7 linked regions of the Tribolium castaneum genome follow. The protein of the gene in region 7 purifies or fractionates together with the protein of the main gene of each other region. This does not show direct contact. Links are inferred from orthologs where the notes say so. Each region holds a gene or a part of one and is shown on either strand. Other genes may lie near its edges.

The links.
Region 1: the proteins of Larp7 (region 7) and zinc finger CCHC-type and RNA-binding motif-containing protein 1 purify together in Homo sapiens (affinity purification with mass spectrometry; 3 studies listed by BioGRID and IntAct, counting the BioPlex papers as one, with this or other methods). This does not show direct contact. The link is inferred for Tribolium castaneum from reciprocal best matches to the Homo sapiens genes LARP7 and ZCRB1.
Region 2: the proteins of Larp7 (region 7) and putative ATP-dependent RNA helicase DHX57 purify together in Homo sapiens (affinity purification with mass spectrometry; 3 studies listed by BioGRID and IntAct, with this or other methods). This does not show direct contact. The link is inferred for Tribolium castaneum from reciprocal best matches to the Homo sapiens genes LARP7 and DHX57.
Region 3: the proteins of Larp7 (region 7) and Sf3b1 purify together in Homo sapiens (affinity purification with mass spectrometry; 4 studies listed by BioGRID and IntAct, with this or other methods). This does not show direct contact. The link is inferred for Tribolium castaneum from reciprocal best matches to the Homo sapiens genes LARP7 and SF3B1.
Region 4: the proteins of Larp7 (region 7) and Pop1 purify together in Homo sapiens (affinity purification with mass spectrometry; 3 studies listed by BioGRID and IntAct, with this or other methods). This does not show direct contact. The link is inferred for Tribolium castaneum from reciprocal best matches to the Homo sapiens genes LARP7 and POP1.
Region 5: the proteins of Larp7 (region 7) and Nop56 purify together in Homo sapiens (affinity purification with mass spectrometry; 3 studies listed by BioGRID and IntAct, with this or other methods). This does not show direct contact. The link is inferred for Tribolium castaneum from reciprocal best matches to the Homo sapiens genes LARP7 and NOP56.
Region 6: the proteins of Larp7 (region 7) and Rnp4F purify together in Homo sapiens (affinity purification with mass spectrometry; 4 studies listed by BioGRID and IntAct, counting the BioPlex papers as one, with this or other methods). This does not show direct contact. The link is inferred for Tribolium castaneum from reciprocal best matches to the Homo sapiens genes LARP7 and SART3.

What each region holds. Positions count from the first base shown.
Region 1 is NC_087401.1:11,244,715-11,247,378, forward strand, and holds zinc finger CCHC-type and RNA-binding motif-containing protein 1, read right to left. Parts: upstream 1,423-2,664; 5' UTR 1,354-1,422; coding exon 1,241-1,353; intron 1,188-1,240; coding exon 1,076-1,187; intron 1,032-1,075; coding exon 813-1,031; intron 760-812; coding exon 535-759; 3' UTR 501-534; downstream 1-500. Other genes in the region: RpL32 (large ribosomal subunit protein eL32), read right to left, coding at 1-123, 178-270; HDAC3 (histone deacetylase 3), read right to left, coding at 1,470-1,683.
Region 2 is NC_087402.1:3,960,466-3,962,700, forward strand, and holds the end of putative ATP-dependent RNA helicase DHX57, read right to left. Parts: intron 2,187-2,235; coding exon 1,295-2,186; intron 1,227-1,294; coding exon 819-1,226; intron 771-818; coding exon 627-770; 3' UTR 501-626; downstream 1-500. UniProt on the Homo sapiens protein: Probable ATP-binding RNA helicase.
Region 3 is NC_087395.1:16,040,245-16,044,179, reverse strand, and holds the start of Sf3b1 (splicing factor 3B subunit 1), read right to left. Parts: upstream 2,801-3,935; 5' UTR 2,684-2,800; coding exon 2,656-2,683; intron 2,602-2,655; coding exon 2,333-2,601; intron 2,284-2,332; coding exon 2,157-2,283; intron 2,152-2,156; exon of another isoform or gene 1,719-2,151; intron 1,515-1,718; coding exon 1,435-1,514; intron 1,322-1,434; coding exon 1,133-1,321; intron 1,085-1,132; coding exon 1-1,084. Other genes in the region: corepressor interacting with RBPJ 1, read right to left, coding at 2,951-3,137. UniProt on the Homo sapiens protein: Component of the 17S U2 SnRNP complex of the spliceosome, a large ribonucleoprotein complex that removes introns from transcribed pre-mRNAs.
Region 4 is NC_087394.1:32,928,348-32,932,390, reverse strand, and holds Pop1 (ribonucleases P/MRP protein subunit POP1), read right to left. Parts: upstream 2,801-4,043; 5' UTR 2,632-2,800; intron 2,582-2,631; exon of another isoform or gene 2,561-2,581; 5' UTR 2,551-2,560; coding exon 871-2,550; intron 820-870; coding exon 556-819; intron 509-555; coding exon 233-508; 3' UTR 203-232; downstream 1-202. Other genes in the region: zinc finger protein 774, read left to right, coding at 3,235-3,290, 3,945-4,043. UniProt on the Homo sapiens protein: Component of ribonuclease P, a ribonucleoprotein complex that generates mature tRNA molecules by cleaving their 5'-ends. Also a component of the MRP ribonuclease complex, which cleaves pre-rRNA sequences.
Region 5 is NC_087395.1:14,127,801-14,131,499, reverse strand, and holds Nop56 (nucleolar protein 56), read right to left. Parts: upstream 2,338-3,699; 5' UTR 2,206-2,337; coding exon 2,203-2,205; intron 2,088-2,202; coding exon 1,516-2,087; intron 1,466-1,515; coding exon 571-1,465; 3' UTR 501-570; downstream 1-500. Other genes in the region: wfs1 (wolframin), read right to left, coding at 2,411-3,699. UniProt on the Homo sapiens protein: Involved in the early to middle stages of 60S ribosomal subunit biogenesis. Required for the biogenesis of box C/D snoRNAs such U3, U8 and U14 snoRNAs. Part of the small subunit (SSU) processome, first precursor of the small eukaryotic ribosomal subunit.
Region 6 is NC_087396.1:21,413,768-21,417,808, forward strand, and holds Rnp4F (squamous cell carcinoma antigen recognized by T-cells 3), read left to right. Parts: upstream 1-1,241; 5' UTR 1,242-1,446; coding exon 1,447-1,530; intron 1,531-1,582; coding exon 1,583-1,850; intron 1,851-1,905; coding exon 1,906-3,830; 3' UTR 3,831-3,846; downstream 3,847-4,041. Other genes in the region: amon (neuroendocrine convertase 2), read left to right, coding at 1-222, 391-552. UniProt on the Homo sapiens protein: U6 snRNP-binding protein that functions as a recycling factor of the splicing machinery. Promotes the initial reassembly of U4 and U6 snRNPs following their ejection from the spliceosome during its maturation.
Region 7 is NC_087394.1:30,502,011-30,506,248, reverse strand, and holds the start of Larp7 (la-related protein 7), read left to right. Parts: upstream 1-1,438; 5' UTR 1,439-1,519; coding exon 1,520-1,694; intron 1,695-1,755; coding exon 1,756-2,593; intron 2,594-2,647; coding exon 2,648-2,870; intron 2,871-2,927; coding exon 2,928-3,206; 3' UTR 3,207-3,425; coding exon of another isoform or gene 3,426-3,701; 3' UTR 3,702-3,751; coding exon of another isoform or gene 3,752-4,123; 3' UTR 4,124-4,238. Other genes in the region: Gar1 (H/ACA ribonucleoprotein complex subunit 1), read right to left, coding at 3,426-3,701, 3,752-4,123. UniProt on the Homo sapiens protein: RNA-binding protein that specifically binds distinct small nuclear RNA (snRNAs) and regulates their processing and function.

The sequences.
Region 1 (2,664 bases), on a different chromosome or scaffold from region 7:
GCCTGTGGGTAGCATGTGCTTCGTTTTGGCATTGGAGCCGTAGCCAATGTTGGGCATCAAAAACTGGCCCTTGAAGCGCCTACGAACCCTGTTGTCGATACCTTTGGGTTTGCGCCAGTTGCGCTGAAATTTGAGGTTAGGGCGCTCACAATTCGCCTATTTCACGCCGTTACTTACTTTGAGTTTGCCATAACGGTCAGACTGGTGCCTGATGAACTTTTTCGTTCGTTTTTTAACAATTTCAGGCCTGTAAACGGGACGAATCGCCATTTTTGCCCTATAACAAAATAAACACCAGGGGTTGGAATTATCACTTAAATTGTGTCTGGTGGTGCGGGGGGCGTTGTCTCGGGGGCTGTTTTTGCAAAAATACTTACGGATTGGTCAGAAATTAACGGATGGGAAACGTGCCGTATTTTTTGACACGTTCGGGAAATGTCACTTGACGGAAAGGGTCCAACGCTGCGCACGCAAAGTTACCAAAGCGAGAAAAAATTCCCTAGTTTTCAAAACATTTTATTATAAATAAATAAATTAATCACTTTCTTCCTCGTCACTGAAATAGGCGCTTTTCTTAATTAATTTCCTCGGTGGTTCAGTGGCCGTCTCATCGTCATAATTACCCGTCGCGACTTTGTAGCGATATTCCTCAAGTTCTTGTTTTTCCAGTTCGGAGGCAATCGCCGCACTTAAAGTTTCATCGTCGTCTTTAATTTGCTCATTGTCGGACTCCGAATCATTAAAAAATTCCTTCTGTTCCTGATAAATTAAAAAAATCTCAATTTGTTGTTTCATTTTTTTCATGTGAATACCTCTGTAAGCTCAGTTGCCACTTTCTTTTTGCGTTTCCTGACTTTTTTGGGGGGCGGGTCCCTTTCCCCAAGGATATTTTTCGCACATTTGTAACTCAAGTGTCCACTTTCACCACATTCGAAACACTTGCTCTTGTCGGGGTAGTCTTTACGTCTGATAAATTCCGTCGTCCGGCCGTTGTCTTTTGCGATGCTTGCCTTAACCGTTCGCCCAAACATCTAGCAAAAAAGTCAGCCGTAACGAAGATTCAAAACCGCCTTACCTCTCTCAAGTTCGTTTCTTCGACGCATTTTAAAGCGTCTTCAATTTTCAAAAATAGGATAAACGCAACTCCTTTACTTTTCCGTGTGTTTTTATCCTTCAAAACTGTGACTCTGATAAAAAAGGGGTGCAATAAACAAACCAACCTAACCTCACTTTTACTCACTTGACGATTTTGCCGTACTTTTCGAATAGCTTGTGCAAGTCGTTGTTTTTAAGCTCGTAGGGGATATTCGAGACGTAAACTGTGCTTTTGCTAGGAACTAGACCACCGCTCATTGTTTTTTATTTAATTTAAAGGAAAATTAAAGGTCGGGATTAGTCGGTAACGATCGTAATGACGCGCCAAATTTAAATAAAAATCTTATTCATTAAATTATTCACTTAAATACAGGTCATGTCTCCATATCTTCCTTATCATTATCTTTATCTCCGTCGTAAAATTCATTTTTCGCCTCGACCATCTTATCTTCCAACTCTTGACTAATTCTAACATCAGGGTCTTCTTCTTCCTTGACTTTGTCTTCTTCAGGGATTGCGTCTCCTGGCACGTCGTGCATTTGCACACTGGGCGAGTGTTGACACATCTTCAAGTTGTCGCACACAAACCTGGAAAAAGTGTCATGAAAAGTTGGGTTATTATAGCACAAATCTGAAACTTTTTGATTTAATTTTTTCAAGAAAAATAATAAATAAAATCGTTTTTTTACAATTGGCTGTTGTTCCTAGGTTAAATCATTACCTCACAGATTTGTTCTTATTTCGCTTTAAATATTTGTGACCAAGTTTTAACGGGTTAAACAGCTTAATAATTTTAATGCTTTATGGAAAAAGTTAAAGTTGAAATGGCTTGAAAAAATACAGTACCATAAATAAGTCATGTACAACACTCCTAATAAAATTTATCAAAAAATTATGTACCATTTTTTAATAAAAAAAAAATGACCAAAAAATGGGCTTTTTCATTTTATTTTTTAATGACATAGAAGTTTTTTTTTCAAATTCATATACAACGTTGGGCAAAAGTATGGAACCAAGCATTTTATGCTTAAACTATGTACCTTACGAAAAAACTAATTATTAAGTCATCGACTACTTTAAAAATGTGATAATTTTTTAAGAATAAAATTTTTTGAAATTTCTTTTAGTCTACGTGTTATTAATTTTTTTTTCAAATGGCTTCCTCCTATGGCGATTTTTTTGGTAAAAGATTATGTTCTAAAAATAACTTCTACTTTAAAAAAATTAATTTTAAGCCATGTTTTTTTTTTCATAAATTATTATTATTATTTGAACTTAATTTTTTTATAGAAAAATAAACAAATCACGTTTCTAACCGTTTTAAACTCGGGAATGATTCAACGTTAGAACAACACCCAGTTGTAATGAAACTATTTTGTGCAATACTTTTCATAAAAATTCAATTTCAAATTTTGCGTTCAGTTCCACTTCAGACCTCCTTAATATAGTTCAGTGGCGCAGCAAGGGAGATTGTTGGGGGTTGAGAACATAATCATGCAAAATAATTTAAGTTGCAGTAATAAAACAAAACTTTCCAGACAATCATTGTAGACATTCGATTTTTTCTAC
Region 2 (2,235 bases), on a different chromosome or scaffold from region 7:
CGCATAAAAGTAAAGATAAAGGTGGATACTTTCATAACTCGGCAAATTTTTCCTCAAAACTCTCATGATTTTCCTTTATTGTTTCTTTATGGGCCACTTCAGCGGGCACGCGGTTATTTTTGCGGAATAAAAACGCATTTAACCGAACACAATTCCAAAAAATTTAAGTGCAAAATAAAAAAATAACGACAGGCAACAATGATAAGCTTCTTTATCGTGCGTGTCTACAGAAACTGATACTAATAATTCAATTATTCATATAGCATTTTTTGTTGGAGTAAAATGGAGTGTCGATAGCCCGGCGCATCCACCATTTTTAACATGAAGGCGAAAACCATATTTCCTTTTTCAGGAAATTGCAATTTCTCAAAATTAATTTTAAATACTGTGTACACTTGTACACTTTACGGACTGTAGGTACGTTCATTTTATGAACGATACGACTTGCTTTAATTAGTTCTATTGTTTTTGTGGGACTTTTTACGAAATAAAAATGCGTATAACAAAATAGAATTTTATTTCCTCTTCGACACAACAATAACAAACAGGCATAATCCACTTACAAATCAAATAAAAAAGAACGCTTTACAAAATAAAATCTCTATTTGTGAAACAAAACTCCGATCCTATTTCAAGTTGATTAAGTTCAAAATCGTCGTAATAATCCTTTCTCCTTTATCATGATGCCAGATATTTAGTAACGGATCTTTGATTTTCTCTTCCAGCAGCATGAACAACTCGCTTCGCAACATCTTAATCATTTCTGCGATCTGTAAACCACATTACTGCCAACCCAAACAACTAAAAAACCGACCAACCTTGTGTTCCTCCACTTGGAACATAATCCATCCGCGCTCTAATGAAATAAACGTACAGCCATTATTTACACTGATATCAAGATCAAAACCCGAGAAGAGCACAAGGGAGATGACAGGAATCACGGTACAATCCCTGAAATACACTTTACTGGTTTTAACCTTTTCCTGATAAACAAGATAAGGACTTGGGAAATTCTTCGCGGAGAAATTCACCGATGAGGGGTGGAGAAAAACGGTTTCTTTAACGGTCTGGAATTGGAAATCTTTCGCTTCGTTGTCTTTGGGAATGGCCCCTCCGGCGGTCTTTACGTACGATTTGGGCGGAGTTAGGACTTTTATCACGTTGGGGTAGAGAGCGGCACATAAAATTGCCGCTAAAACATTGAAATTTTCGCCGTTCCTGTTAAACTACAAAAGAATTAAGCGAGAACATCACGAGGGCGTGGCCCAGCCAGGCACGCCCTTCGATGTTATACCTCGTTTCCGGTAATTGCTAACACATCATCGTCCCCTGAACGCCTTTTCCCGTCCAAATTCGCAGCAATGAACCCGATATCGACCAAATACTCCAAAAACTGGTGCTTGATATCGGCGATTGTTACAAGAGTCTTTTGTGAGAGGAAATTCTCGTTTGCAAAATTCCGCCCAGCTAGACTACTCTTCTTGTACACACTTTGCCACTTCTTGTAGGCCATCAGGACAGTAATGTGGTCACTATACCCCACGGCAAATTTTTTCTTCTTCTCATTTGCCTCGTCTCTTTTACGGAACGGCGTCACGAACGGGCTTTTATTACTCAGACACGCCGCCATAGTTAACGCCGAGTCCACACACGAGAAAATTGCCCCATAGAGCAACAATTTTCCAATTCTCACATCCACAGGCAAGGCGGCTAAGTGGTGGCCAAGCGGCGTCAATTGTTTTTCGGTGTCTAAGGCTCCAACATCTTGGAGACGAACAATCGCCGTCTCCACGTGCTCTTTCAAAGGCGGCTCGATTAGACCGTCGATGACGTCACAAACGTCACGATCTTCGAAGTTTTGCAAAATTTTGATGTTGAGGATGAGTTGTTCGAGGGGAATTCTGTGGATTTCTGGGATGGGTTGGGGGAGCATCTGGTGGCGGAAACGGTTACTGGTGTAGAGGTGGAAACAAACGCCGGCCATCACACGGCCTGCTCGACCCTTGCGTTGCAGGGCATTGGCGCGGGTCACCCACACGGTCTCCAGACTCTCCATGTTTCGGTTCGGGTCGAAGTGCTTCTCACGCATTCGACCCGAATCGATCACGAAGACACAGTCGTCAATTGTGACCGAAGTCTCGGCAATATTGGTCGAAAGAATGATTTTCCTCAAGTTTTTAGGCTTCCTAAAAAATATACGAAGTTTTGTAAAGGCAAAAAACAGACAAAACATGC
Region 3 (3,935 bases), on a different chromosome or scaffold from region 7:
ATATTTTGTGGACGTAGGGACGGACTAAATCGTCCAATTTGTACAAAATTCGGTCTATGACTTTGACTAACAAGTGACGTTCTTGGTCCTCCAGAGTTGGACTCATTAAAAGGGGCAAAATTTGGTTAAAAAGGGGCCCTGCACCGAATTCTCGAGCCTTGTCTGTGATTTGCCTCAAGGCGGCTTTTCGCATGGGAGGGGTCCCGTTTTTGATCTTTAGGAGTAGTTTCATTATTTTCCGTTCTTTCTGTTCCTCAGGACTCAAAGCTTCTTCATCAACATCGACCAATAATTTATCAAAATATTGCGCATCTTCTGGTTTCATGAACGGCAAATTCTGCCCTTTTGGTTGATTATCCAGATATTTGGCTGTCTTATCTTCCTGTTGGATGAAAAATCCCTGGGGAGTATTAACCATGGGTGTGGGCGTGGCTGTCAATTTCCTTGCTGGCGTCCTGATGGGTATATACCCAGCCGGAGGTGCCAAAATCTTGTACCCCGGCGGAAACATCGCATCCAATTCCTCATCCGAATACGGCCTATTCCTCTCGTCAATCTCCCGCTCCCATCGATAGGCCTGGAGTTGTTCCGGAGTCATGGACGCCAAGTGTCCCGGAGTGGGCGTCGCCATGGCCATCGCCTTGACTCCGACCGGAGTTGACCCGCCCGGAGTCAGCATCGGAGTGGCATGGCTTGGCGTTCCGTGCGGCGTTTGCGGCGTCATAGCACCCGGAGTCATGTGCGCCGACGGTGTCTGAACAGAGGGAGTTTCATCCCAACGGGAGCGGCGTTTGGACGCTCCCGGAGTCGGTGTTTCGTGAATCAAGTCGGCTCCGGTTCGGTCGGTGCGCGGGGTTTCAGCCCAGCCGCTCGAATGTCCCGGAGTTTCACGCTCGGTTTTGGGTGTTTCATCCCAGCGGTTTCGACGACTGGCACTCTTGTCATGAGCGGGCGTTTCGCGACCTGGAGTTGCAGCCCCGGGGGTCGCGTCCCAGATACGGGTGGATTGGCCGGGGGTGGCGCCCGGCGTTTCACTGCCTTTGTGGCCGGGGGTTTCGTCCCAGCGGTGGTCGGCTGGAGTTTTCTGTAATTTTTTTATTAATAATTGGTTTTAAAAAATTGGGATTGTTACGTCAGCATCCCAGATGGGGGTAGCAGCTGCACTGTTGGTCGTTACGGAGAGAGTTTTCTTTTTGCTGGGGACGACGACTTCGTCTACGGTTTGGTCCCAGCGCCCCCGTTTCTTAGGTGCGCTCTTTACCTCACCGTTTGTTGATTTGAGTGAACCGTCTTTGGATTTTTCCAGAATTTTTTTCCTCAACTGAAATTAAATTACAAGTGGTCAAAGAAATCAACTTTGAGTTAACAAAGGACTCCATTGCCGGACATAATTACGAAAAAAAATTGGCTAGGTGATAAATTTTTGATACTGACCTCGTTTTCTTCTCCTTTGAGCATCTGCTCTTTCATAATCTGGGTGTAACCGCGGGCATTGATGTCTGGTGTTTTGCCACCTGTAAACATAACAGCGTTGAAAAACGCCAATTAGTAAACGGAAGCACTTGTTGGCAAAAAATGGTCAGACTTTTCTATTTAGTATCTGTTCTTTATTGAATGATTGAAAGATTTGGTTGCACCACAATTCACTCAAACTGATTATTTTTCGAATATTGGGGATTGAAAGGGAGTGAATTTGGCGAACAAATCTTGATACGTACGTGTGATTGTGCTCCATCACAAATCAGGCAGTTTCTCGCAAAACAACTGGTCAAATCGAACCTAGAAATAGGCTGGGGTAATTAATAATTTTCTATACATTGCATACACTCTTTCACTCTTGTTCGATTTTCGTTTACCAACGTTACATTTTACGGAAGTGATCCATTAAAATCGCGGCGATTACTTCTCTAGGAAGACACCCCTAAATGTTGGAATCCAATACAGAACAAATTAGTTTCTTTGTACTGATTTTTATTTAATGCCTACTTTCTCGAGTATTTTTGCTCACTCATGCATCCATTCGCTATCTTTCATATACCCCAATAACATACAAAACTTGAGATAAGCGACAGCAACAGCATTATCTCAAATTTCATATAAAACATAAACAAGTGGAAAAACGAGCTATAAATACTTGGACGAAATCAACTACTCACCGTCAGCGAACGGATCAACACGTTCGGGTGAAATAATCATCCGACGCCTCTTTTGCCTGTACTCGTCCTCTCGATCGGCAATCGTGGGCCTCCTCTTGTCAGCAAACGGATCAAAATCCTTGTCGCTCTAAACAACTCAGTTAACTACCACAAAACTTAAATAACACAAATCTCACCTGAGCGACATCATTGAGGAGCGCCACAGGGGCCCCCAGTCCGGTCCGTTTCTGACTATAACCCACATCGTCGTCCTCTTCATCGGCTTCATCGTTGGCGGCGATCGAGGTCACATAACCCTCGTATTTACCCTTACCGCCGCCCCCATCGTAGATCTCACTATCAAAATAGCCACTCTCGCCTAAACCTACACCCTTCTCGTTTCGCTCCTCTTCCACCGGAATTTCCTTCTTTTTAGACTGGATTTCACGAATTTGGGCCTCGATGTCTAGAGACGCAAAAAAGTCATGAAACGGGCTTTTGGGTGCAAAAAACAGCGTACCTTCATGAGTCCTTGGTATCTGTTCCATTTTCTAGCACCAATGCTTGTTGCTTTGGCTTATTTCGTTTCAAAACACTTTCAAGGAAAATCAATGACAAGCTTGCGTTACAAAATGGCGACTCATTAAGCGCCTGCGCGAAAATGGACCAATAGCCAGCCTGTCGCTAAAGTTGGCGGGATTTATAAATAAAATTCGGTGGAATACGTTTAAAAATATATTACGTTTTCTAAATTATTACAAGTATCATGATAATCCCTATAATCACAACAATTCTAAGAAATGTACAACAAAAACTTAAGAGCGTCTTCTTTTGCTATTTTCATAATAGGAATCATCAGATTTTCGCTTCCTGTCCCGTCTGTAGTCATCATTGTTATGCCGTGAGTGCTTTTTGTCCCTCCTTGACCTGTCCTCATCGGAACTTCTTCGCCCATTCTTTTCGTTCCTTTTACTGATTGCTTTCTCCACAATTTCCAGTTTCCTGTAATCAATTAATTAATAGTAAATTAAAAGATCTTTGTACTATTTTTTGTAATTGCCCCCTTTTTGTCGTTTTTAAATAAAAAATATTATTTTAATCGATTTAGGGATTTTTGAATTTTTGTAAAATTGTCATTTGTCAAAATTCAAGGCTAGTATGATTTTGGCAAAATATGGCTATAACTCAGTCTTTCAAATGGAACGATCCTTTTTTCTTAACAGCAATCGAACATCAATATTTATGGTGACTTTTATGAACACGTCCTATACCCATTTCCTACATTTTTAGAAATAATTACAAAAAAAAACACGGATTTTACTTCGTAATTTTCATAGTTAATCAAGTAGACCTTGCAAAATGGTCAACAACTGTCCAACTTTTATTTAGTTTTTAGTTGATTTATTATCAAATAAGCAGTACTTTTATTTAATAGCACAACTTTATCGTATTTTTCGAAAGTTTACTCGATTAAAATTGAAAACAATGAGCTTTTGGTCTTTTTTTTTTGAGATTATTTTAAAAAGTATAAGAGATAGATATAGGAGATATTGATAAAAGTCTCCATAAAAATCGATATCCTTTTGATTACCATTCAAAAATTTGAAAAAACTGTTATAATTACTTTTTGATCAATTTCAAAAAATCATAGTAGTCTTGCAATTTGACATTTGACAATCCTGAAAATTTGAAAAGACCCTTTGAACCTTTGGTTATCGAATACTAATATAATTATTTATTTATTGTAAAAGTTTCAAGAGTTGTGATTTTTTAAATGAACTACTGCAAATGAAAATTTTC
Region 4 (4,043 bases), about 2.4 Mb from region 7:
GAGCGTAAATCGGCAATTTAGTGTAACAACACTTATTACCATTCCGTAAATTGATTATTTAAAAAACGGCTGCACGCCTCCAATAAAATATTTTGGAAATTCCTATACAGCAATAAGAAATTGCATTATTTTTTATTCAAAAAAATTCGGCATTTGCAGCCTCCCCATGTGGGTATGTATTTGTAAATAGCAATTATAAACGTTTTCCTGTAATAAATTTATATTCAGCCAGTCACTCTACAATGACGCTTAAATTCGCAGTTTTATATTGCCGAGAATTAGTATTCCTCAACAAAACCTTATTTCTAAAATCAACCAACTCCGATAAACAATCGCTAGTTATATAACCCGTCCCTGCGCTTTTCCCAATCGAAAAACTAAAACCGCCTTTCGAAACAAAACCTACAACTTCTCTGCTACACGAATGCCTTATGGTAGTTGGCTCAGGAAGCCACAGCGCTCTCATTTTCTCCGTATAACTGCGTAAAATCTCACTGTGATCATCCGACTAAAACAGACTTATCAACAAGTTCGATTAAAACAAACCGACATTACCGCAAGCTCCGACTTTAATTTGCGTTTCTTCCGCAATTTTTTCAACAAACTTTGATGTGCACGTCTCAATTCCTTCCGCTTTTCCTTATTTACATCCTCGCAATTCGGTTCCAACAAAACTTCGCTCAAATCACTCTTACATTTCGGGACACAAATAATGGCATACTCGGCCAGTGAGCCCCGCTTCTCACACTCAAGTCTAACAGGAATGAGGCAATTTTGGGGGCACTGTGGCACCGGGTGTGTCTTAGAATTGAGAAAAGCCTAAAACAATCAAAACTTAAAGTTCACTTTTTACAAAGACAATTAATTTACATTAATCGAATGAAGCTGTTTTTTGTCCCTGAGGACTGAAAATTCGCCCGTAAAGCCACTGTTCCAGTCCTTGAGCAAAAGCCTCCAATTGCAAAGCAAAGGACTTGCGATTTTAAATTTACTGTAATTGATTCGTTTATTTGGAGGTTTTTGGAAAAACGTAACCCTGTGCTGGTTTGAATGTCTCAGTTCTTCCTCAAAACCTGCGTCCGTGTCCGGGTGAAGCAACTGTGACTTTCCCATTTCGTAAAGCATTGAGTCTGATTCCCTCAAACCCCCAACCCTTGCTCCCCTCATAACGAAGGCAATCCAAAACGGTTTGGCCCAAGCCGTTGGTAGGATGACATCCCATCCACTCCCTAAACCAACGTTCTGGGTTTTATTCCCTGGCCTTTGGATCAGGATAATTGGAATGTGGCCAATGGTCCCTTTTAAATCAGACCCCGGGACTAGTAAACCACTTTGCAAGTCAACAATTTTTGAGTCAGACACTTTATTTTCATTTGAGTACGTTCTGATGGTCTTGTCCCATAAAGGATTCGCGGAAATGTTCACAGGAATTTGATCAAATTCCAATTTCCCGAAAGTTAAAACACTTTTTATGCGCTTTTTTGGAAGATTCAATCGGGGGTCTTTCACAATCAAGGGTAACACGATGTGGGGGGAAACCTCATGTAGGGATGCCACCGAGGCTAGTTTTTTCCAAAACTCGCACTGATTTATAATCACTGCTTTATTCTCCGGCCAATCAATGTATTTTTTAAGAGGCGACTCTGGTACTAATTTAATATCATAAATGTCGATCAAAGCAAGCGCATCTTGAAGAACTGGATTAGATAAAGGCCCACTGAGTCTAAATCTGCTCAACTCAAGTCTAAGTTCGTTTATTTCGATCTGGCAGTTTTTAAAACACTCAACTAGTGTGTTTTTCGTGGTTGAATAAAAAGCGGCATGAACCCACAACCACAATTTACATTTTTCGTCAATAGAGGGTTGCCACTGGAACATGACGTTCCCGATGGCTTTTTGGAACGAATCATAGAGACAGATTTCACCCTCGCGGTTACCCTCAGAAAAGGCTTTCGCCCCAATACTTAAACCCTCGCCTGGCTTACACAGGAGTTTAATTTTTTCAATAATTTCGCTTTTATCGCCGTGGATTTCCACACAACTGTAGTAGGAAATGTCCTGTAAGAGGCAATGTTGGGTCATTGCCCTGTAGCAGGCACGGAAGGCCTTATCACAAGCGTGGTATGGCAACTTGTAGCCCCATTTCTCCACCATGTGGAACCGTTTCGCGTGCCAGATGTGGGTTTGCAACCATTTGTACTTCTTATTGGCCCTTTTGGTGTATTCTTCGAGGAGGTTTCGCGGTTTTCGGCGGTATTTGCGAGAGGGGCGCTTCTGTTGCGTTGGCATTCCGGATTTTTTCATTTGGTTTAAATGGATTTGGCGGAGACGCCGTGGTAGTCTTTTGACGTTGTGGGACATTGCCCGGCGTCTCATGTGTTTCGGTAGAGTTTGGAAGGCCAGTTTTGAGCCGGTTTGGGTCAGGAGGGAGTTTTTCATGATTTGGATTTCTTGGCTGCGGCAAGCCACGAATTTCGATAAGGAGATGTTCGAAGGGAGCTCCTCGGAGCCCCCCAGAAGGGCGTCATATTGGGCTTCTTCGTCAATCATGGTTTTGACGCTAAAATCACCACATTTTTGACTTGAACGTAACCTCAAAAATTGTGACACTGGTTTGTAATCTTGACATACCTTCCAGGCGCTAATTACTGAAGCTAGCAATGAATATTATTGAAAGTAAATTCGCACTTATCACATTTTAATGTAAAAATTGAGAGAATCATTCAAATTTACCGCGTAGCTTTAAAACAAAAAAATACCTTTGCTAGTTTTAATCGTCAGGTGACGCTGCAGTCGTTTATAAAAAAAATAGAATTTTGTGCGCATGAGTCTTACTTTCCATTCAATTCAAAATTTAAAATGGTTTTCTTGGCATTGATACTAAAATAATGTTTTAAGCTGAATTTAAATCATTATCGCAAATTTATGAATATTGTTCACTTGAATCTAGAAAGCTATGACAGTTTGTCCATAATTAGTCAAATGAAAATCCATCAACATTCAATTTTTAACAATTTTTTAAACAAAATACATTCACTAGCCTGTTTTTGTGTTTAAATTTTTTCAAAAATTTAAACGTTTAAATTTTCTGATTGAAATGATTGTTTGTTTTTTATTATTACTTGATAAAGTGTGCTTTTGACTATGTGAGTAGTTTTTGTGAAAAATCTGTTTGCATTAGTTACAAAAGTTCCTTCAAGCTCTTCTAATTGCTTTAAATTGGAATTATAAGAAATGGATCAGCTAAACTTGAACGCAGATTTCTTAAAATTCGACAAGGAGAATAATGGGTGAGTACAACAAGCCCCAAAAAAGCGAATTTTGGAAATACAGTTTTAAGACACACATCGCAACTTCATTTGTGACTTCTGTTTTAACAAAAGCCATAGACAAAAGCAGATTAAAATTCACTTATTTTGGAATTGTTTTGTTTATTAGAGCATTAGCGTCCCATACAAACTTTATTTAACTATTATCATTATTTCTACCACATAGCAATGGGGGTTAGTTTTAGAGTGCCTGATATAATAAATTAAGTACTTAATTGTTTCAGTGAGTGTAAAAAAGGTATACGTAAGTCTAAAAATGATGTTTTCAAAGTTCTGAGATAAACATCTTGCGTAAAATTCACAGACGTAACTCACCAATGTAACAAGTTATTATACCTACAGAATGTCTCAAAATTGGCGAATTTCGGGTTCAAAGCGTTGTAGAGACACTCTGTTTAAGAGTAATTTCAATCAGATGCTTTGATTCACGGGTTAATCGCAAAATAAATTTTAACACCAACATAATTCATATATTAAATCAACCTATGTTTCTATTAGGAAAATCTTAAAAAAAATAAAAACTCGTGTGGCTTGTTTTAATGGGTTATTCTGTATAAAAAATGATTTTGAACTTTATAAGTGCTTAAATACACATTTTTTTATATTTAATTTTAGGGATGTTAAGAGAGAAATCGATTTTTTGCAATGTGGAAACTTTAACTCTGTTCAACCTAGTTCGTCGTATTTATCGAACATATTTTCGAACACATTAGA
Region 5 (3,699 bases), on a different chromosome or scaffold from region 7:
CACCTAATTTTTATTCGAAATTCCAAAGATTGTACTTTAATCGTTGAGATTGAGCCAATTGGTCTTGCGTTTATAGTTTTTAAAAACGGTTTTCTTGCACATATTTTGTATAGTCCGTTTGGTTGTATTACAATGCTCATGAGGGTGCTGGGTACATTTAAGTTTGTTCATATTTTATTTAGTATTACGCAACTATTTATACAACTAATTTGTAGGAACAGCAAAATCGGCTCTGTTAGCAAACAGATAAAGCAATATTGCATTGTTAATAATTTTCTATAAAATAAAAACAAATTCGACCTATCGGCAGTTTTTTCTTTTTCGTTGAAGGTTGCGATACCGTGGTGCCTTATTATCGATAACACTATCCATGTTACAGTTAGTAACTGTTTGAACATTCCGCTCATTTAGTTTATTGTAAAAACATATAAAATAAATTGTTGTGAATATTACCCATGGTTTTATTGGTAGGATAACAGGTTTAAGCATTACGACCTCAATTTGATCAAGTATCTATTTAAAAATAATAGATTATACAAGAATAAAAATACCCGACTCTCAAACAAACAATTACTCAACTTCCTGCTTATTTTTCTTCTTCTTCTTTTTGGGCGGCTCCTCCGCCTCATCTGCATTCCCATTGGTCGTCTGGTCCACGCCATTCTCTCCCACAGACTCACTCGTCTCGTTCAGCTTATGTTTCTTCTTTTTCTTCTTCTTCTCGGACTTATTGTGCGCCGTTTCTTGCTCCAACTCCTCCATCGCCTCCTTCATGACTTCGATATTCTTCTTGGGGACGTCCCCTGTCTCGTAAAACTTGAGCCTGTCTTCAACTTGTTGCCTCAACTTCTCGCCAAAAATCTGCGTCGGTTGTTCAGTGAAGCAGTCGATTCGCGATGCGATCGAGCACTTGTTCGCCAAATATCGCGAGATGCGCCCCTTGTTCTTAGCCCCAGCTCGCCCTATGAAAGTGGAGTGGAAGAGTAAGCCGTACTTCGGGGTGTTCCCCCTGGTTTTAAGAGCCCTGAAAAGGGCTTTTTCAGCCCCGAGGATCTGAACCGTGGACGCCGGGTACTTGGCAAGGTTTGTCAGAGACCCAGCGTGGGCGATCAAGCGCGCCCCCACTTGTTCGCCGATTAGTTTGGCCAGATTTGGGGCCACGTCGGTCATTTTTGTCTTCAAATATTCGGAAAGTTGGTTTCTGTAGTCGGCTAGAGCTATCACCCGGCCGGCAAACATTTCGATGTTCAGTAGATCAACAACGCTTATGTCCATGCCCATGCTGGACTTGGAGGCGTCCAAAATCGCCTGGGCTTTGCCTGAATCCATCGTGATTTCTTCCAAGCCCTCGAGAGAGTCCTCGCTTAGTTCTTTGCGGTTTTTGATGAATTTTGCCAAACGGGCGTAGGTGTAGTTCTCGGGGACTATTTTCACCAACTCCGGGAAATGGTAAGAGTACCATTCGCTGCAATACACTTGTTAGAAAGAAAATTTGGACAATTCGCAAAATCGTACCGAATTCTCATCGAGAAAGTGTTGATGTCTTTGTCGAGTTGGTCCAAAAGAGCTATGGATTGTATTATCATATTGTCAACTCTGTGGACGTTAAACTTGACCTTGGCTCGTGAATATGCATGCCCGAGCCCCAGTTGGGCCACGGCTGAGCTTTTCTGAGTGAAACCTTTCACAAGGTTATGGAAATGGTGCCTGATACCCCTGATTACCTCCGGGACAGCTCCGACGTGGCTACATTGTATCCCAAGCGCTTCGGTGATGGCAGCCCCCAACTTGGGGTCACTCACCCCCAACGTAAGCTTATTCTTTTTCTTACTTTTCGGGACTGTGATGTCCAAAAAGTGTAGCAAATCTTCGGGTAAAACACCCTCCGAGATTGCATTGATGCTTTCTAAAGCCGCAATGGCTGTTTTAAACGGCGAAAAACCAACGAGTTCGACTACGCTATTGAAGCGGGCTAGGTCGTGCACGGCTGCCTCCAACTGGGGCAGCAGCATACCGATTTCTTCAAATTCCTGCACTTTGAAAACCCCATAGCCGGCAGCGTGCTCGAATAACACATAAAGTTTAGACTGAAAAACATGCGGCGCTAGAGTGAGGTTATATTTACAAACATTGCTATAACTTTGCTTGTTCCAAAAAACGAGCAATTAGCAATGTTCTAGTTATGCAATATTGAATTCTTACCATAATTAGGCATAAAATTGGGCTAAAATTAATTAAATTCTATAACAGCACGCATCACAATCACACGTGTTTGCGCGATTTCGCTGGTAATTTTTACGGCAGTGTAGTGGTGGAGCTGACGAAAATTTAAATTCTGGCGCACAACTTAAATAATCTCTTACATTTATTAACATAAATAAATACAATTCTCAATAAGTTACGTAACAAATCACTTAAACACTACGACTGGACTTAAAATAACATTGAGGACAAACTTGAGTCCCAAAACGAGACCATCAATAACATTCTTAATATCAAATCTAGATTCAATCTCTTTTTTAACATTCGTCAGTTTATTATTACTACACGCAAGGCAACCAATTTCGTCCAATTTTACATGGGTTTTGAACCCCCCTAAAATCCCATCGGACCCCACAACCTCGTTATTAAACAACGTGCCTTTGAACCAAATGTGGTCATTTGGCTTAAGCCCCAGGGTGAAATTTCGAAAATAATCGTCAACTACAAGAGTGACTTCGGGGCTTTTGCCCCAAATCGCTGACTGCACTTTCGTTGTTATTTCAAACGTGTACGAATTGTATTTTTGAAGCGAACACGTTTTAGTCGATTTTATTGCATTGTAGAACGAGCTGCACTCTTCACGAACCGCGGGGGGGAAATCAGTACAATCATTTCGAGTCTCTTCCCCGTAAAAACAGTAAAGATAATGGCGCAAAGTCACAGGGAAGTGATCAATAATCGTTTGGAACTTATTCGAGATCGACGAAATTTTAATATCGTTGATGTAACCGTCCCAATTGATGTGCGAGTTGTGCAGTTCGGAGCACTTCACTTGAGCAATTGCGATGTTTTCCTCCTGCCACACCGGCTGGTGGCAAAACCGCTGATAAACGTCCCACGACAAATACTCGGGTAGTTTATTTTCAAAATAGTGTTCCTCATTTTTGTAATTTGACTTAATGAGGGTTAAAACAGCAAAAATCGTCGAAACGACTTGAATAAAAGCGGTGATTTTGCTGAACCTCGTTTGGGCACAAACCCAACATACCGCCAGGCCTAACCCGGTGGCCCCCACGAAGACACAAACCCCGAGAAAAAAATTCGAAGCCACGACCCATTTCGCTAGCGCAGCTGCGGGGAGTATCACACTTGTGAGCCCCACTAGGGGCAGGAACAGCACCACCCCCACTAAGGCCAAGCTGCCGCGCAACAGGCCGTACATTGTGGCCCCCTCGGAGCTCACAATGCACACCTGGAGCCAGCTCAGGGTCACACAGTGGGGGATCAACATTTGGTACGTGCCTTTCCAATCCTGGCGTGAGGCGATTTTGACCAACAAAAGCGGGATAAACATGTAGAGAAACAGGCGGAAATTGATACAAAATTCGATGCCGTTTCCTATCACATAGCTGGCGAAAGTTGGGATTTTTAGGTCGAGAAAGCGCCAACCTTGTGCCACCACTGGATCAGTCTCGTAGGGGTATTTCGCAAGGACGT
Region 6 (4,041 bases), on a different chromosome or scaffold from region 7:
AGCACCGAGGTGAGGTATCTGGAGCACGTGCAGGCGGTGCTAACGGTGAATGCGAGTCGGAGGGGCGACCTGGAGCTCTTCCTCACGTCGCCGATGGGCACCAGGTCTATGATTCTCAGTCGAAGGCAAAACGACGATGATACGAGAGATGGGTTTACGAAGTGGCCTTTCATGACCACGCATACGTGGGGGGAGTACCCGCAAGGGACGTGGGTGTTGGAGGTGGGTGGTTTTTATTAATTTTTTACATTTATTTTTGAAATGTTTGAACTTGATTACGTGGAAATTGGGGTTGTAGGACACAGGATAAATTAAATTAAATTCGTTACGACGTTTCGATACTTTATTGAATATCTTCAGTCAAATTTATTATTATTATTTTTGTTTCAGGCCAGCTTCAATTCGCAGATGCCGCAAACGGGCTTTGTCAAGGAGTGGACTTTGATGCTGCACGGCACAAAGGAGCCCCCTTATACGGAATTGGCGGTTTTGGACCCACATTCCAAGCTTGCTATAGTGAAGAAGGCGCATGAAAATCGAATGAAGATGTAATTGGTCTCCAGTTTTGGTTTATTTATTTGTTAAAGATTTGATAAAGATTCATATATTTTTAAGTAGAGAGTAGCGATATACTGAAATATTTAAATAAATCCATCAATCTCTAACTGTACTGTAATAAAAGCATGTGATTATATAAGAAGTATAAAATATCAAGTAATTATTGGATTTTATTTTTACAAATTGTTGGACAAGAGCTTATATTTTGTATAGCGTTCATTATTCAAATATATATTAACTGAAAGAGATTATTTATTACAGTGCAAGCGATGAATCTCATGCAATTGTACAAAATTGTAAATTGTTTACAATATAAACTTTATTTCCGATTGTGATTTTGTTTGCTTCTGCTGGCCGACAACTGTAAATAAAACTAGACATTTAACCAATTTTTATTGCTTGTTTTATTTATTTAAGATTGCTTCATAGTTTTACAAATTCAAATCTTCAATTCAAACAGCTCGTATCTTTTTTGAGGCGCATGTGCACACCCAACCAGAAGCATGGCATAGATGGTCTCAAATTTATTCGGAGCAAAGACCAATAAATAAAACTACATTTTTACTAAAAAACTTTTATTCAATTTAATCAACTCACACCACGTTTAAATTAGAGATTTTATGGTCGTAAAGCGCAACCAGCAATACACATCCAGAAAAACAGTTTTACAGTATTTTTGCTAATAAATTTCAACATTGAAACCAGTTTCGGTTTTTCTGAACAAACAAAACTGTTAAATTGTTGTTAATTAGAAGTGTATTCCATTGGTATCGTTTCAAATTAATTTAGTAACTTTGCTGCTCAAAATTAGACTGGTAAATCTTCTGTCACTGTTTGCCAACATCAACATAACCCAACTTTCCTATTTGTCAAAACGTACTTTTTACGATGGAAATAAACGACGATTCCAACGAGCAAATGTCGGTCAACTCGGACTCGGACTCCGACTCCGGGGACGACCAAGAGGAGCAAGTAAGGGCCTCCACAATCCTCCAAAATTTTTCTAACTCTAAGAGTGTCTCAGGCCCTCCTCACTCGTGCTGAAGACCTCGAACGCCAAATCTCCGACAACAAGTACCTCTACAATGCCCACGAAGAGCTCGTCAACTTGTACCGAAAACTGGGGGACTTGAAGTCGATGCGTCTGGCGTACGAACGCTTCCAAGAGTACTTCCCCCTAACCCCCGAGATCTGGCTCGCGTGGATCAACGACGAGAAAAAGTTAGCGAGCTCCGAGAGCGAGATTAAGAATATTTTCGGGCTTTTTGATAAAGCCGTGGAGGATTATTTGTGTAAGTTGGTCAGGTAGCCTGAAATTAGATTGGCAAGCCTGACACGTTTTTTCAGCTGTGAATTTGTGGGTGGAGTACGCGCAGTACTCGATTGGGGTTAGCACCCTTGACACGACACGTGTGATAATCGAGAGGGGTTTAACCGCCGCTGGGTTACACGTGGCCGATGGGAGCCTCCTGTGGGACACTCTCCGGGAGCTGGAATTCGCCCATTTGTCCCTGACGGAGGCAGGGAGCGAGCCATGGAAAACCCAAGTGGAAAAAATCGTGGAGGTTTTCCGGCGCCAACTCTCAGTGCCGCTCCTTGACATGGAAAACACTTACAAGGAGTGGAAAGAGTGGCTAACGCAGGTGCAAGACCACAAAATCAATGCTGAACCGGTGGAGTGGGGCTATAACAAGGCTTTGAAAACCTTAGAGACCTACAAGCCGTTCGAAGAAAAACTACAAGTAACAACGGACGAATCGCAACTATTACGAGTTTATCGCGACTACGTCAAAGTCCTAACGGACCCCTCGACAATTTTGTGTCTTTATGAACGCGCAACGGCCCAGATGTGTCTCAACCCGGAGATTTGGCTCGATTATTGTCTCTACGGCCTGAAACTGGGAGCCCCAGCTGAAAAAATCACAACTAAGGCTTTGAGAAATTGCCCCTGGAGTCAAGAATTGTGGATTATGCGCCTACAAGTCCTTGAAAGTCTCCAGAAGGATAATAGCGAAGTTGTCGCTTGTTTCGAGCAGGCTGTGTCAAATTTAGGCGCCCAATCAAGCGAGCTGTGGCTCGCCTACTTAGAATACGTCTCACGGACGTGCCAAGACCAAGCCAAAGTTTTCAAATCTTTTGACCAAGCCTTAGAACAACTAAAATATAACGACGAAGGCGCCCTCAAAATCACAAAGTGGTATTCGAGAATTTTGGCCAAAAATAACAACATGCAAGGGGCGCGAAACCTCTGGAAAAACCTACTCAAAAGCCCGAACCACAAAATCCTGGCCAACACTTGGCTGGAGTACGCGCGGCTTGAACGCCAGTTCGGGGAACCCCCGCAAGTCCGCGCCATTTTCCAGAAAGCCCTAACCAATTGCACCGACTGGCCCCTGTTTATCGCCGACGAATGGCGTGAGTTCGAACGCGAGTTCGGTAAACTACCCGACGTTCTAAAATGCCTCGAAAAACGCAAAGAAATCGAACCGAAACTAAAAACGATTGAGCCGCCGAAAGCCACCGGAACCAAACGAAAACACCCGAGCGAAGCCGAACCCCCGCCTAAGAAACACAAAAAGCAGGCGGTGGTCAAAGACCCGACTCGCACAATTTTCGTCAGTAATCTACACACTAGTGTGAATGAAAAACGACTGAGGAAATTCTTCCCCAATTGCGAAAATGTCGAAATTGTGGTCGATAAGCGGGGGAAGTCCCGGTGTTATGGGTACGTGCAGTTCGCCCTTGAGGAGAGTGTCATGGCGGCGCTGGCACGTGACCGGGAGCTGCTTGACGGCCGCCCTATTTTTATTTCCAATTGTAAGCCGAATCGTGAGGAGCGGAAAGCCGGCTTTAAGTACTCGAATGAACCCGAGACCAATAAACTTTTCGTTAAGGGACTCCCCTATGACAAGTCGCAGGAGGAAATTGAGGCGATTTTTCGGCCTTTTGGGGCGAAAACCGTGCGTTTGGTGTGTCGGCGAGATGGTAAGCCAAAAGGACTCGCGTATGTTGAGTTTGAGGACGATGCAAGTGCTAAGAAAGCCATGGAAAAGACCGATGGGATGACAGTCGGGGACTTTACCATCAGTGTGGCAATTAGCGCGCCCCCTGTCAAGAAACCAACAACAGTTGCAAAAAGTACACCAACACGGCATGCACGCAGCCGATTACAAGTCCCGATGTTACCGAGGTCCTTGCAAGTCAAGAGTGCGACGAATGGTGATGTCAAACCGAAAACCAATGATGATTTCCGATTGTTACTTCAGAAATAAAAGCGATTCAAACATATTTATTCAACAACTCTCTACCTCTAGATACAAATGAGGTAACCGCCCTCAATATGCTGGCAGTGGTGGGTGATTTCGCACATGTTTCTCCTGTTTGAGTGGCTGAAAATTATCTAAAAAATATATACGATACACAAAATATTGCTTCGTTCTCTCTTATTTACAATACGTGATTTTGTACTTGTGACGTTTGAGC
Region 7 (4,238 bases):
ATAGACAATTTTTACATTTTTATAAAATGAGTGTATTTACCTCATTTTTAAAAAGAAATCGGAAAAAAATTGACAAAAAGATAAATAATAATCTATAAGTAGGTATTCAGGTTGTATGATGATTGAACGTGCTTATAATTATTGTAACATTATCCACTTGCCTATCGTCTGCTAAAACTTCATGCAGACGTTAGTTTGAGTGACTTAGATAAAAGACTTAAGCCTAATTTATCTTGATGACTTAAATGCTTGTTATCTACTTGTTAATAAAACAATGACATCAGTAAATCGTTTTACAATGTGAGTACAATTAAGTACACACATAAATGATATGAATAGGGTACAAAGTTTTAATTTAAGTCACTTGACTTTTTTTATTGATAGCTGGTGTATCTAAATACAAAAAGTAGTTATAAACATTTGGATAGGACAAGTTGTAGTTATTCTAACGTTTGTTTTCTTTGTTTGTTTGTTGTTATTTTGTATTTCGTATTATTTTAAACTTTTAACTAGAAAAAACTTATACATTTACGGATCAATATTGTGGATCAATGATTCTTTTAGACCAGAATTAAATTAAAATTGCAAGGACTAACAATTAAAAAAATTAATGTGTTTTTCAAAATATCTTTGCAAATGTACATACTATAACTTTTTATTTTGAATTTGCCTCATTAATTGTGGCCAAAAGCCAAAAGATAAAAACATCTCCAAAAGTACATAGTTAAATAATAAATAAGCACGAAAAAACATCGGCAAAGATACTATGAGTTAGTTATGATAAATGTTTTTTTTAAATGACTGTTGTAATTTAATCTGATGAATAATTTTACTTATGGTTTCATAAAATTTAAACCTATTGTAAGATTGCTCAAGTTGGTGGCTTATATGTTGCTAAGGCGATAACATCAGTACTTATACGTGCTGATGTTTAAATTTCACAATCCATAAGGCAAACAATATAAGTATGTCAGTGATTTAAGTAACTTAATGTAATAAACAACTTACTTTTATCATTTTATCGGTGACTTTATAGTTCGTTTCTAAGAAAGATGAAATCAAGGTGAGTATTCAGTTTCACATAATGGATTATTTGAAACGATTTGAAGTACTATTCAAATTCATGGTAAAACTTAATTAAATTAGTTAATAAAGTATAAAAGTTTTTTTTTCATAATCTAAACTAAATACATAGAGTTATTCACTTAAGACTTCACGCCTGATTAGGTAAAAAGTGCAGCACACAATGCACTAGGAGTAGCATGGGTGTAATTGATACAACTAAACATAATTATTTTTTGAATAAGAGCTATCTCCTATGAATAAGAGTAAGCGGCGTATAATTTAAAAAGTAAATGATTTTTTTTGCATTCTAAAAACATTTTTTTTAATTAGGCAACCAAATTTACCTCCAACAAATATTTTTTTTCTATGGTTGGCGGCAGTTTCTTTTTCAATTTCATTTCCAAACGCTAAGTTAGGTTATAATTTTCATTTTTACTTCTGCAAAGTATTGAAAATGGAAAATGAAACGAAAGAAAATGCAAATGCACACGACGATTCAATACTTAAAAAAGGTCGCCATCGAAAAAAGCAACTCTACAATTCCATTTTGCAGCAAATGGAATTTTATTTTAGCGACTCTAACCTCACCAAAGATAGATTTCTATCTCAATTAATAAAGGAGAATCCTTGTAAGTGACTATATGATTATTTTATGAGTAGTTGTAGGTAAATACCAAGCACTTTTTTCAGTTGTCGACCTGAACGTATTTTTGAAATTTAACAAAATTACTAAACTCACAACCAGCATAGATGATATCCAAAAAGCTGTACAAAAGTCGCAGTTAATCGAATTATCAGAAGATCGTAGTAGAATTCGTCGTACAAAACCGGTTAAAGAAAAGGCTAACGTTGATGATTGTACGATTTATGTAGAACGCCTAAAATCCGATGCAACTCATGAATGGTTGAACTCTGTTTTTTCTGAATTTGGAAATGTGGTCTACGTTTCTATACCAAAATACAAAAACAATAGTGCCATAAAGGGTTTTGCTTTTGTCGAATTCGAGAAAGAAAAGGAAGCGCAAAATGCTTTAAATTACTTTGAAAGCATTGGCTGCAAAATGCCGTCAAATACAGAACCAGAAACTCTTTGTAGTATTAAAACATTTGAAGAAAGTAATGAACAATCTGAGGCTTCCTCTAAAAATTCTACACTGAAGCCAAAATCTGGAGAAGACGAAAAGGCAACAAAAAAGCGAAAACTTGAAGACAATAGTGAGAATAGCGAAAAACTAGATAGTGAACACTGTGAGAGTAAAGCGGAGGAAAAAATAAGAAAACGAAAACTTGAAGAAAGTGAATCCGGCGAAAGTGAAGAAAAAGGGAAAAAAATGAAAGTCGATGATAGTAAGCACACTGAAGAAAATGATGAACACAGTGAAAGTGACGAAAAAGAAAAAAATTCAAAACATGATACTGGAGACGTTTCTGAGTCGGACGATGCCGAAAATAAGAAAAAGAAGAAATTGAAAAAAGAACACAAAAAGAAAAATTACATAAAAGAATTGGGCCTCCAAGTGTTATCAAAGTAAGTGAAGCAGCTAGAATTATCTTTAATCATTGATAAATAATTGTTTTTTAGAAAAGAGTGGAAAAAGATGCGAAATCGGTATCTAGATTTACAAAAGAAGAAAATGAAAGAGTTTAAAAAACACCTTCTAAAAGCCAAGTTTAATCAACCAAATTATGAACAAAAGTCGAAAACTCCCACTGCTAAGACTGAACTCAACAAAGAGGATTTTACCAAGGGACTTATTGTAAAAATAAAGCTAACCGAAGCTACCCTGGATATAAAGAAACTTAAGGTAAATTTTCTAAACTAAATATCTTGGCCAATTTATTTGCGATAAATCGTTTTTCAGAATGAAATTAAAACTTCTTCAGCTGATATATTGTACGTAGATATTCCAAACCCTGGCAGTGAGAACATTTATGTAAGATTTAACACCACGGAGGGCGCTAAAAATTTTTGCTCCCAAGAATCTTTTGGCAAAAAAGAGGTATTAACAGGACAGGAAGAATCTTCATATTGGGAAAAAATTAAAACAGATCGTGAGGATAAACTAAACAAAGCAAAAAAGAAACAACGTGGTAGAGACAAACTGTTAAAGAAAGCAAAACATACAAAATTTGATGATTAAGGTTTTGTTTTCAGTTTAAATTTTTTTTAAATATTCTTTATTTATTAACTTTGTCAAACAGTGGCACCATCCATTTCGTGTTGTTTGCTGACATATTCACACAAAAATTTGAAATAACCTGTAGTTCTTATTTTTCATAGATCTATTTTCGTAATAAAAATTTCATACACTTAATGGAACAATTGCCAACCACAAAAAACATTGGTCACAATTTCAAGTCTACCACCTCTTGCCGCCGCCGCCCCCTCCTCGGCCGCCGCCAAATCCACCCCCACGACCACCTCTAAAACCGCCGCCGCCCCCACGACCCCCACGTCCACCGAAATTGCCGCCTCCTCTTCCTCCAAACCCGCCGCGATTGCCGCCCCCTCTGCCACCACCGCGGCCTCCGCCACCCCCACGACCTCCCCCTCGACCGCCTCGTTTCTGGACTGAGCCTGGGGGCTTCGGTAGGAATCTTTGAAGTGGTAACAACTTCGCAGGATCAATAAACAACTGCAAAACATTATTTTAGATGTGTGAATGGTAAGTGAATTTTTTTATACCTTTTGATTCTTTTTAAAACTGCTAGCTTTTATGTCGTCTCCGAGACGTATCGAAACGTAATAATCTCTGAGATTTCCAAAAATTTCATCAATTTTTCCGATTTGTTCCTTATTTTCGAGGTAAATCGGCGCATTGAAAAATGGAACGTCTTCTATTTCTACTTTAGCAACTAAATCATCTTGTACGGTGTAATCGAAGTAGCCCAAAGGAATCACTCTCTCAGGAGGGCCTTGATCATAGTTTCGCCCGCCGCCCCCGCGACCACCAAAACTATTTCTCCCGCCGCCTCCACCAAAATTTCGAGCGCCGCCGCCCCCACGACCACGACCTCCAAAGCCGCCACCACCGCCGCCTCGGCCACGAAAAGACATTTTGTTTCACTCCTCAAATAATTAGAAACGTAAAAGAGCGTCCCTTTGTAAACACGTGGTTTACACTAAATTTTCAGTGCGGCAACATAACCTCTCCTGCAAACGTAACCTCCAA